Bombyx mori: one gene and its partners. The protein of the gene in region 1 purifies or fractionates together with the protein of each later gene. This does not show direct contact. Links are inferred from orthologs where the notes say so. Each region holds a gene or a part of one and is shown in the gene's direction. Other genes may lie near its edges.

Region 1 (3,661 bases):
CTATTTTTTACTTTCGTTTGTCTTCGTTTTCGGAAGCGGTCTCCTAACACTCAGTATATAATAATAATAAAAAATCCTTTTTTTTTCTGTCTATTCGCTGGTAGCCTAAGGGGCTATTCCAGCTACCCCCAGACGGATTCATAATAATAATTTCAAATTATGAGCAGTAATTCACCGTCGCCGTTACAGAGGAAAGACGTTATTTTGAATTGAATTGACAACTGCGACAAAACCTATTAAACATATATTTAATTATTTTTTTTACAATCTAGTAATAACCAATGTAAGACAATAGTTTATGATCTATTTAGTGTATTATTTGACATGTTTTGGTAGTATCTGCGGCCCGGTTAGCTCCATTATAGATAACGTTACGTGCAGTAGACAAATAGTAATATGTAATGTACCTTGTCGAACTTATTCGGTGATGTATAATATTGTTGGTGGCGGCGGCTATTGTCAAATGTTTTTAAGCAAAAACCGTATGCCTAAAGTAGTATAAAAAATAATTAAAAAAAAACTGAAAACAATACTAAAATTCATTGGGGTACTGAGTCTGGGGTGATGTCTTTGAGCTATTGTCCAGATTTAATACGTTGCTAAAAGTTATTATCATTAGCTAATAGTTATTATTATTATACTCACTGAATTGACTTTTTAATTTTTTTTATTGTTTAGATGGGTGGAAGAGCTTACGGCCCACTTAATGTTAAGTGGATACTGGAGCCCATAGACATCTACAACGTAAATGACACCCACCTTGAGATATAAGTTCTAAGGTCTGAGTATAGTTACAACGGCTGCCACACCCTTCAAACTGAAACGCTATACTGCTTCATGGCCGCTGACTACATTTTTACTCTTAAATAATAACGCATTTTTTTATTGCCTTTGTAGGCAGACGAGCACACGTCCCACCTGATGGTGAGTGGTTACCGTCGCCCATGGACTTCAGTAATGCCAGGGGCAGAGCCAAGCCGCTGCCTACCAATTTAATTGAATACTCAGATATGAATCGTTCTGGTATCCCGGAATAGGTCGACACGTCCCTCCAGCGTTTAGCGGCGATATCGAATCACTTGATGAGTTCCCTGGCGGACATCGTGAACTGTCAGTCCGCGGCCGCCAAGCAAGGCGCGTTCAAATGTTTCGCTTCGCTCGGAGCGAACGACGAGGACATCAGGAAAATGATCATCGAAACCCACGGCCTGATGGTGCACGTCGTCAACGGACTGAACAATCCTGATCCCTGTGTAAGTTACACACACACACACACACGCACACAGCTATAGAATTATTAACAACTAGCTGTAACCGTCCGCTGGGCATTTAAAATTAACATTATTATTTCTCACCCCCACAAAGATTCTCATCATTAACGCCCCCGCAACTGGTGTAGGGAGTTCAACACTCATATAAATATTAGCCTATCTATTAAGTACATGTATTTTCTACATGGATACCAAGTTTCAAGTCAATCGCATGCATGGTTCAGTAGTTATAACGGGACATCCGTAAAAGCCACTGTAGATTTATATATTAGTATAGATGAAATTTCCTTTGAAAACAAATTAATATTTTTAATGAGTAATTAAATGAGGTCCCAGTATAACTTATATATGAGTCGTCTATTATCAAAGGCGGCAATCTGTACATTTGGACAAAAATTTTTTATTGATATGTCAATACAGATTTATTTGAATATAATCGTCTCCTTCAAAGAATACGGTTCAAAACCTGCATTAAATAAAGGTTAATAGTTAACCTGTTATTTATCTAAGATGTCGTTCCGAAGAGTTTTGTGACTGCCAATGGAATACAAAGTCAATAATTCGTTTTTCTGATTTACTAATCATTGTCCAAAAGTCAGATTGCCGCCTTTGATAATAGTCGACTCATATGTCAGAGACGGTCATTACTTTGGTAGCTAAACGAAACGCAGCACGATTCCCGAGAGATGGCAGCACGATCGCGCTATCGTCGGAACTCTGCTAAATTCGTGCTACGACAGAACTTAGCCGATGGAGGCGCTTAGACGCCATTACACACTTACCAACCAACCTTCTTGAAGAGCTGTGCCTCCGTCCTAAGAATTGTCATTCTTTTTCGTTTGCTAATATCAAGAGAAGATTTCTAAATTGTTCTAAGACAACAAACGTGATTGGTGTACTCAATATTTCTCTTAGCTCGATCACCCTATTCGCCCCTATGATGTCTGACGATGGTGTTAATAATTGTGGCTTCTCCGATATATACAACTTATGTTCATATTTATAAGTAATAGTGGACCCGACAGACGTCGTCCTGTGAATGCATACATAAAAAATTCAAAATTCAAGTTGATTCAGCCGTTTAGTTGCAGTACAGATAAATAACCTATATACCGACTGTAGCGCCATCTGCCGGGCTGATTTGTGAATTTAAACCATCCAGGGCGCCACCCAAACGCATATAAAAAAATTCATTCAAATCGGTCCAGCCGCTTAGGAGGACTTCAGTGAACATACACACGTGCAGTAGAATTATATATATAAAGACGTATATAGGTTATTTAAAATAATGTTTACGTCCATCCGTACGTGTACTATCGCCGCTTCGATAAGGAGCCGTGGCACATTTTCGTATTGATAACTCGAAGGAGGAATTTTAAAAGCTTGAAATTACGATTAATATTGGCATTGTCAAGTGAACATAAATTCTGATTGTGAATATTCGAATTCTATTGCCTCCATATCTATTAATTATGCCATATCTTAATTTTTAAATGAAACGTTAACATTGAATATTGTGTTCAGTACCTAGTAAGGGAATTCTCCAAAATATAGACTGAAGATAATACAGGTGCAGGCTTAACCCACTGTATTTTTCGTTAGAACTTCGCAGATGGTTCGATTCCGATCCATTGGTAGTTCAGCAAAGCACTGCTCTTGCATTTGATAGATTCAGCATAGCACTGCTCTTGCTAGGGCTAGTGTTACCAAGTGACCTCACTAGACTATCAGCTATTAAGTAAGGAAAGAAATAAAGATGCAGGCACTAGTCGACAGTAATTCACACGCTAACACATACTAGTCATACTCATACATTCGCATGTAACTTAATTATTAATGCCGATATTAAAATTCCGTGTACGGCCAATGAGCAAATTGAATTTACAACAAAAATTCCAATGCATTTTTGAAATTGAAACTTTTGAAGTACATTAAAGATTTGAAATTTGATGAAACGAAAAATCGACATTAAAAAGAGACAAACATATACATCTGTCTGAGAGAGAACGAGATATGTTTCCGAAGGTTCCACTCTTGATCCATGCGAATTGTTGATTGTTTTGTTTTCTGTCTTTGTTAAGATTATTGTTTCTTTTCGGCTTTGAAATCGACTACTTCACACCTTGATAGAAGTATGAATGTGTTACAGGTGAGTCTAGCGGCCGTGCGGTGCTTGCATTCGTTGTCAAGATCGGTTCAACAGCTGCGAACGACTTTTCAGGTTTAATAATTTTAATTCCAGTTCTTCATTCCCATTCCATCTAGCATTTAGTATTCTCGAATCAACAATTGTAAATAAATTTGTCAAATCGATTTGCGCGCCACCTACTGTACTGTACTATAAATAGCATAGCAATTTTCAATTTAGTCAATCGTGAACATTTGTTAAG
Region 2 (3,661 bases), on another chromosome or scaffold:
GCTTTCATTACACGATCGAATGAATCTTCATCCCCATACTGTACCAACTTCGAACGAGATTTATTCACGAGAGACGGTTGCAGGGCCGGACTTGAAACTTAATGCCGCTCCTGGGCACCGGAAAAAAATCCGCCCCAATACTGGTATTTTACTTAACTTATAGTTTATATATTTTATTTTTCAAAACTAAAATAACTAATTGATTGCAGAAACGTTATCATATGTTATATATTACAAAAACATAAGTAAAATATTTGTTGTTTTTTCTAACAATTATAAACTTTGCACTAAGGGTGACTCATCATTATAATACATTAAAAAAAAATTAAATTTATTTAATTCCAGAAAATAGAAAAATCGATTATTATTTTAAATGTCCAAGGAAATAAATTGATTAAATCATTCTGATTATAAATTTTTACCAAAAGTACCAAAATTATAATTCACAAATAATGGATGAATTGAATTTGTTAAATTATCAATTAAACAGAAAATTATTAATTCTAATAGAATTACTTAATTATATTGAGCAATCTTGATAAGATAAAAAAGAAATTTCACTTTCAAAAATTTGCCGCCCTTGGCACTTGCTCCGACTACCCCTAGTGTAAATCCACCACTGGATGTGAGCATTTTTAAAATTAATATTTGGCAATTGTAATGCGTGTGTGTGTACTGTTAACCATTGAAATTTCTTTAACTAAAACTATACAGTATCGAAAGCAAGCACGAAGTGACAATCCTGAGCGGCCTTAACGAGTTCTGCGTGAAATTCTTCGGACCTCCAGGAAGTGAGTACATGTTTATCCAGATCTATTATCTACAACCCATTATTATAAGCGAAACGTAAACAAACTAACTTCGTCCATTTCTCCGAGTGCTTCGGTGGGCTTATCTCGGCAAATGGCCGCAAACCAATTCGTGTACAGAGATAAACTCTGGTCAATATATAAATTTATGTGTTTATAAAAATTATTACTTACTATAAAAATTATTACTTACTTATTGGTGGTGGGACGTCTTGTGAGTCCCCACGGGTAGGTACCTCCACCCTGCTTATTTCTGCCGTGAAGCACATTGTACTGTTAAAAGTGAGACCTTACAAATGCTGTCTCAAGGTGGGTGACGGCATTTACGCTGTAGACGTCTATGGGCTCCGATAACCACTTAACATCAGGTTGGCCGTGAGCTCGTTTATCCACGTAAGCAATAAAATATAGATTATTTACAATATTCAATAATTTATGGGGCTAAATTTTATTATGCTTTTTAATTATGCTGCGCATTGCCGTAGGATTTATAATTGGCTGTTGGTTTTATATTGCTTGGTCTACGGCTCCGCTAACCACCTGGTGGGCGATGAGATCGTTTGCCTATCTACGCATTAAAAAAAGGAGTTGTAAACAGGTTACGTCATAAAAACCGTTGAATAACAAGGCTTCAAAGTTCAAAGAACCACACTCAATAAACAAATGTCCAAACGATTTGTTAATAATTCTTGTTAACGATCTCGTTTTGCTCAAATTCAATTAGAATATTCTGAAATCAAACGGTCGAATCTGTATTGAAAGATATTGTAACTTTACTGATCGTAGGTGATATCGTGAATATGCACTGGTAAATAGTATTACCAATCTGCCTGTTTCCATCGCAAAGCAACCAAGAATTAAAACATGGAACATTCTTATACAATACTAATCGGGACTCTACTGGCTGTGGCCTCAAGCAGGTCGCGATCTTCGTCTCCACATTTTTTTGTTTTTTTTTTTTTATTCTTTATTAGAGCCATACCTATTAGGTTAAGTCGGCAAATCTCCCCATTTAATACTATAAAAAATGCATACCATGTCTGCCACACGTACATAGATAATATGCGATACTGAGCCCGTATTACCGCCATTAAAAATAAGAGGTTTTTTTTTTTTTTAGGGGAATTTCAGCATTTTTGAAGTAAGGTGTTTGAGACTATTAATAAATGCCAGTAAAGATATATTCTAATCTACGTCGTTTGTTTTATAATTTAAGCGCCATACGAAGGTGGTGTGTGGAGAGTACGCGTGCACCTTCCCGATCATTACCCCTTCAAGTCTCCGTCCATCGGTTTCATGAATAAGGTCTACCACCCCAACATAGATGAGGTGTCGGGGACCGTGTGTCTTGACGTCATCAACCAGGCGTGGACTGCCCTTTATGGTATGTCTTTGTTCTCTTTTATAACTTCAATAGACTGAAAAGCGGCCAGGAGATTTGGTGGACACGTCTATGCCACTGCCTATCATTAGATACTGCCTCGATATCATCCCTAGAAGTACATTTTGTACCGCCGGAAGGGAGCTCCTTTTGAGTGACAATTAACGGCCGTCTGGTGTAGTGGTAAGTGACATGGTCACTACACAAGGGGGTCGCGGGTTCGAATCCCGCCAAGGGAAGATATTTGTATGATAAATATAAATGTCTTTCCAGGGTTATGGGTGTATATTAAATATATGTATGTGTATAATAAAAAATATTATATTTATTTCCGTTATCTGGTACTTGTAACACAAGTTCTTTACGAACTTAGCACGGGACCAGTTAACGTGGCGTGATTGTTAGTAAATATTTATATTTATTTAAAAAAAAAAAAAAAAAAAAAAAAAAAAAAAAAAAAAAAAAAAAAAAAAAAAAAAAAAAAAAAAAAAAAAAAAAAAAAAAACGTGGGTGCCACCGTCCAGCATGTCATACCATTAATACTTAAGATGAGGATAAGATATGTGGTACAGGTGAGTGATAAAACGGTTTTTCGTACAGTGACTGTATGAGAATTAAACCAACATGGTCTGAAATGGTACTGCGGGCCTAATTGACCTGATTGTAGTTACTCTACATGGGTAGTACTGAATTGAAATATTTTCATTTCGGTGTTGTAATGTACATATTTGGAAATGAGCAACAAGTATCTTGCCCATTTTTCTTATGGTAAAGTCGCGAAGATTTGAATTCGCTTGTGAAGATGTACTTCAATAAAATTATGTAGTCTCTAGTTTAATTATAGTTTTACAACCCGCTGTCTGTCTGACATTAATATTCCTCTGGAATCTATGCGGCTTGGTATATTAGTAGCGGATTTAGTGCCAAAGTTATCGGAGTTAGACAAAGCGAAGAAGGACGCAAGCAAGGAATATCATCATTGATTGACTTAACATGAGTTATGAATCAAGATACCATTCTGTATTTTCCGCTGGCTTGAATATAATACATTAGTGTTCACGGTTATATAGAATTAACCCTTTGAGATTCAAAATCCACACGTATTGGACATATAGTTTAGTCTTAGGACCACAAAGGGTTAATCGGTGGATGAGCTCACAGCACCGCTCTGAGAAACGTGAGTGAAGTCTCAGTTGCGTAAGTGCTGGCCCATACTTCGAACCAGAACATGTCATTAATCAGCATACACCAAGCCACCAACAACGACGAGATGTTGCTTCATTTTGGAAGTCGCAAAAGCGTATTGGTTATGCATTTCCTTAGAAAAATAACAGTGCAATCTGCAAGATTGTAACTTGGCATTGTACCACTCGAGTATACCGAATCCCTTGTCCTCAAGCAAGACGGCCTGGACAACTAGTCTGGCGATGTCGGATAAGGTTCTTGACCTCCTGGCGATGACGGATAAGGT
Region 3 (3,661 bases), on another chromosome or scaffold:
ATTGCTTTACAGATTTTTTCGTTTTCATTCTTCGGGATGGACGAGAATTCAAGTGAAGAGTATAAGCTCTTAAATAGGAAATAGTTATGTGGTCCCTACTCATGTGGGCAGACATCTTACCACCAGTAAATTCTATAATATTATTGCTATAATGTATGCCATGTTAGTAAATGTATGCATAATATAGTATGTGGTAAAGTAATAATGAACAAAAAATAAACTAAACATATATTATGTTCTCAGATATATAGAATTAACACAATTAAATCACTGTTCAGTTATACTTGATGATTTTTTAGTTACTTAAGTTTTTGTTCTAATAGATCTTTAAAGACTCGATAGAGTTATGATTAATAGAACTTTTTTTTTTTTAATTTAGTATAGATTTTCTGAAATTTGTTACTCGAATGGAATTGTAAAATTTTGGTATTAATAGTTTTACAATGTATAAAATAAATAAAATTATTAATAATGCTGTCAACTATTGCAATGTCATTTGTACAATTGAGGGGATCTTAATATGAACCTTCTTTTCTATTCACCTATATTCTGAATTAGTGCTCACTATGTTGTTATAGCTAATTAAATAAATAAATAAATGAAGACTTTTCAATTGAAGATAAGTTTTCACTTTCGGTACGCTGCTTCATTACAAACATAATATATAACGTGTTACAAAATACCCCGTAAAAAATATGATTAATTATCAAAGCCTATAATTTTGTCAACCCTAGTAAGCAGTAATTTAACAGAAAGGCCTACGTACCTATTTTACGTAATAATTGTCTACTTTGATAGTTTTTCTATTTTTCATTCATAAATGTTTGCTACTTCAATACAAGGATGTCATTATAGTCAAGTAGGTACTTGTCGTCCTTGTCAAAACTTTTGTTGTTCCGCGAATTAGGTAGAAATGTAGGTACATTCTGCGTTGCTTACCTACTCTTTAATTTTATTGAAATAGGATTTTCACATGAGTGCAAATAATAATATTTATTTTATTGTTATACAGCATTACTACGGCTGTTAAATATTGTGAACTAGCGACCCGCCCTCGCTTCACTTCGGAAACTGTAATTTATTATTGATTTCTCAACTATTTAATGGATGTTATTATACATATAAACCTTCCGCTTCAATCACTTTATCTATTAAAAAAAACCGGATCAAAATCCGTTGCGTAGTTTTAAAGATTTAAGCATACATAGGGATATAGGGATAGAGAGAGCGACTTTGTTTTATACTATGTAGTGATGGACTCGTTATAAGGCCCCATTTAAGCTCCTTTTTTTACGGGTAGTTTCTTAACACCGTGTATAATTACGATCATGCACAGGTGCCGTATGAAGTGTTTAACAAGAAGTACCGCAGTGCTCAACGCGTCTTCGATGTTGAGGCGCGTCAGGTTAGCAGTGCCGCCACAGAAATGGAAACGGTCAAGAACCAACCCATCACAAATACAGAGATCGATAGTCTATTGGGTGGCATGGTATGTACATTAAAATTATTATAATAAAATGTACCGCGAGAGCTTAATGTAATTACTGTAGTTAGATCAGCGGCTCTTAACCTTAGCGTCGCGGCAAATGGGGGTGTCACAAGCCCCTTTTGAATTTGTCGCTAGGTTTACAAACATTCATCAAGTGAATTTGAACGTGGTTGAATACGTGAGCTCACCTACTCGTAATAGCTCCTTAGACTACCAGCGAATAGGTAAAAAAAAAGTAATGAACCGTAAAAAAAACGCGAGATAAAATCGTTAAAGTAGCTTTAATTGTATCGTTACATTATTACTCGTAATACATTTTCTCGTAAAATGGTTCACGAGTTCCTTCTCCGGTGGCCAGCGTCGTATTAAAAGTTCTTTTCTCGGAAAAATATAAAATAGTCTGTGGCGTATTTTTCCTCCAGTTAGGTGTTTATTGTTCAAAACCTTTTACATGAATAAAAAATGGTGTATTACACGAATCGAGGATTGGGGGGTAAGGGGAACAATATGGACGACCAATCGCATTACTGCCAATTTGCATATCATCGTCCTCTACTCGTCTATCACTAATACGCGTACGATCTCGAACAGAAAACTGTGTCAGCTAATGTTTATTTAACATTTAGGCAAACGTTCAGTCTGGCTGTGAATTTGTGTCTAGAAACTTGTGTCTGAAGTTTTTTTTGTTTTTTTTTTTACGTCAATTCAGCAGTACACAACATTGAAGTTTGAAGTTAGACTTTTGGTATTTAAAATAAAATAAAATATTGTTATCATATTCCTAGAGAAGTAGGTAAGTCTGTACTTTTTTTTTATTGCTTAAATGGGCGGACGAGCTCACAGCCCACCTGGTGTTAAATGGATGCTGGAGTCCATAGACATCTACCACGTAAATGCGTCACGCACCTTGAGATATAAGTTCTAAGGTCTCAGTACAGTTACAACGGCTGCCCCACCCTTCAAACCGAAACGCATTACTGCTTCACGGCTGAAATAAGCAGGTGGTACCTACCCGTGCGGACTCACAAGTGGTCCTACCACCAGTAATTACGCAAATTATAATTTTGCGGGTTTCATTTTTATTACACGATGTTATTCCTGCACCGTGGAAGTCAATCGTGAACATTTGTTAAGTACGTATTTCATTAGAAAAATTAGTACCCGCCTGCGGGATTCGAACACCGGTGCATCGCTACATACGAATGCACCGGACGGACCCTTTAGGCCACAACAACTGCTAGATACAAGCGTAAACAATGCATCAATTTTCATTCATTGATTAACCTGGGTTTAGTCATCAGATAATGGGCAGCAGCATTCTCACTGGTCACCGTCCTCGCCGAATCTGTCGCTTGCGACGAAGACCTCGACGAGTTAATTAACCCATAGACACAGCCCACTGAGTTTCTTGCGAAGAACATGTAGCTCCAAAAAAAGGGTACTCAGGTAAGTAAGGCTCATCTCACAAACCACACCATATTCTGGTATTGCACTTGTCCTGCTAGAATTATTTTAGAATAATATCGCTCAGTTTATAGGTAAAAGCAAAGGTCTTCCATCGCGCAAGTAAGTTGTTAGTAGAGCGACTGCCTGCATATTTTTGTTTGGAACTTGTACATATGCAAGAGATTTAGATTCACAAAAGTAGAGGGCATCTCACACGCCCGACCTATCGGGTCGGATCGGTCTTCAATCTGGCCAGCGCTGGTCGGCATTTCAACGTAATCCTCAAACCTAAAGATTCAGCGTTTGCAGGTCGAGAAGTTGACAACGATGAAGCGAAAAGCGAGCGAGGCTATTAACGAAGAGCTCCAGGTCGCTTACGTCTGCAAGAAGCGTCTGGAACACCTGAAGGAGCAGGCCAGCGCCCTCGCCGAGCCGTCCTCCACGCAGGTGAAGGTGCTGTCACTATATCCGTATAAACGATATCTTGATGAATTCTAACATTGATTCTATTTATTTTACACTAGCGGTCCGCACCGGCTCCGCTCGGGTCTTTAACAAAAATTTCAACGATATTTGACGTTGTTTTATTTTTTTAAATAAAAGAACACTTGTTGCGGCATAACTATAATAGTTAGACATATGTTGTCGCGACACTTTTTGTAAATAATAATGTGTTTTACAAAGTCGTAGTATATTATTTTATTCTATCATCAATAGTTTTTGCAG

The links.
Region 2: the proteins of armadillo repeat-containing protein 8 (region 1) and ubiquitin-conjugating enzyme E2 H purify together in Homo sapiens (affinity purification with mass spectrometry; 3 studies listed by BioGRID and IntAct, with this or other methods). This does not show direct contact. The link is inferred for Bombyx mori from reciprocal best matches to the Homo sapiens genes ARMC8 and UBE2H.
Region 3: the proteins of armadillo repeat-containing protein 8 (region 1) and E3 ubiquitin-protein transferase MAEA purify together in Homo sapiens (affinity purification with mass spectrometry; 5 studies listed by BioGRID and IntAct, with this or other methods). This does not show direct contact. The link is inferred for Bombyx mori from reciprocal best matches to the Homo sapiens genes ARMC8 and MAEA.

What each region holds. Positions count from the first base shown.
Region 1 is NC_085117.1:9,122,541-9,126,201, forward strand, and holds part of armadillo repeat-containing protein 8, read left to right. Parts: intron 1-1,037; coding exon 1,038-1,253; intron 1,254-3,420; coding exon 3,421-3,492; intron 3,493-3,661. UniProt on the Homo sapiens protein: Component of the CTLH E3 ubiquitin-protein ligase complex that selectively accepts ubiquitin from UBE2H and mediates ubiquitination and subsequent proteasomal degradation of the transcription factor HBP1.
Region 2 is NC_085133.1:414,771-418,431, forward strand, and holds part of ubiquitin-conjugating enzyme E2 H, read left to right. Parts: intron 1-714; coding exon 715-791; intron 792-2,025; coding exon 2,026-2,193; intron 2,194-3,661. UniProt on the Homo sapiens protein: Accepts ubiquitin from the E1 complex and catalyzes its covalent attachment to other proteins. E2 ubiquitin conjugating enzyme that transfers ubiquitin to MAEA, a core component of the CTLH E3 ubiquitin-protein ligase complex.
Region 3 is NC_085132.1:9,954,882-9,958,542, reverse strand, and holds part of E3 ubiquitin-protein transferase MAEA, read left to right. Parts: intron 1-1,336; coding exon 1,337-1,489; intron 1,490-3,244; coding exon 3,245-3,388; intron 3,389-3,661.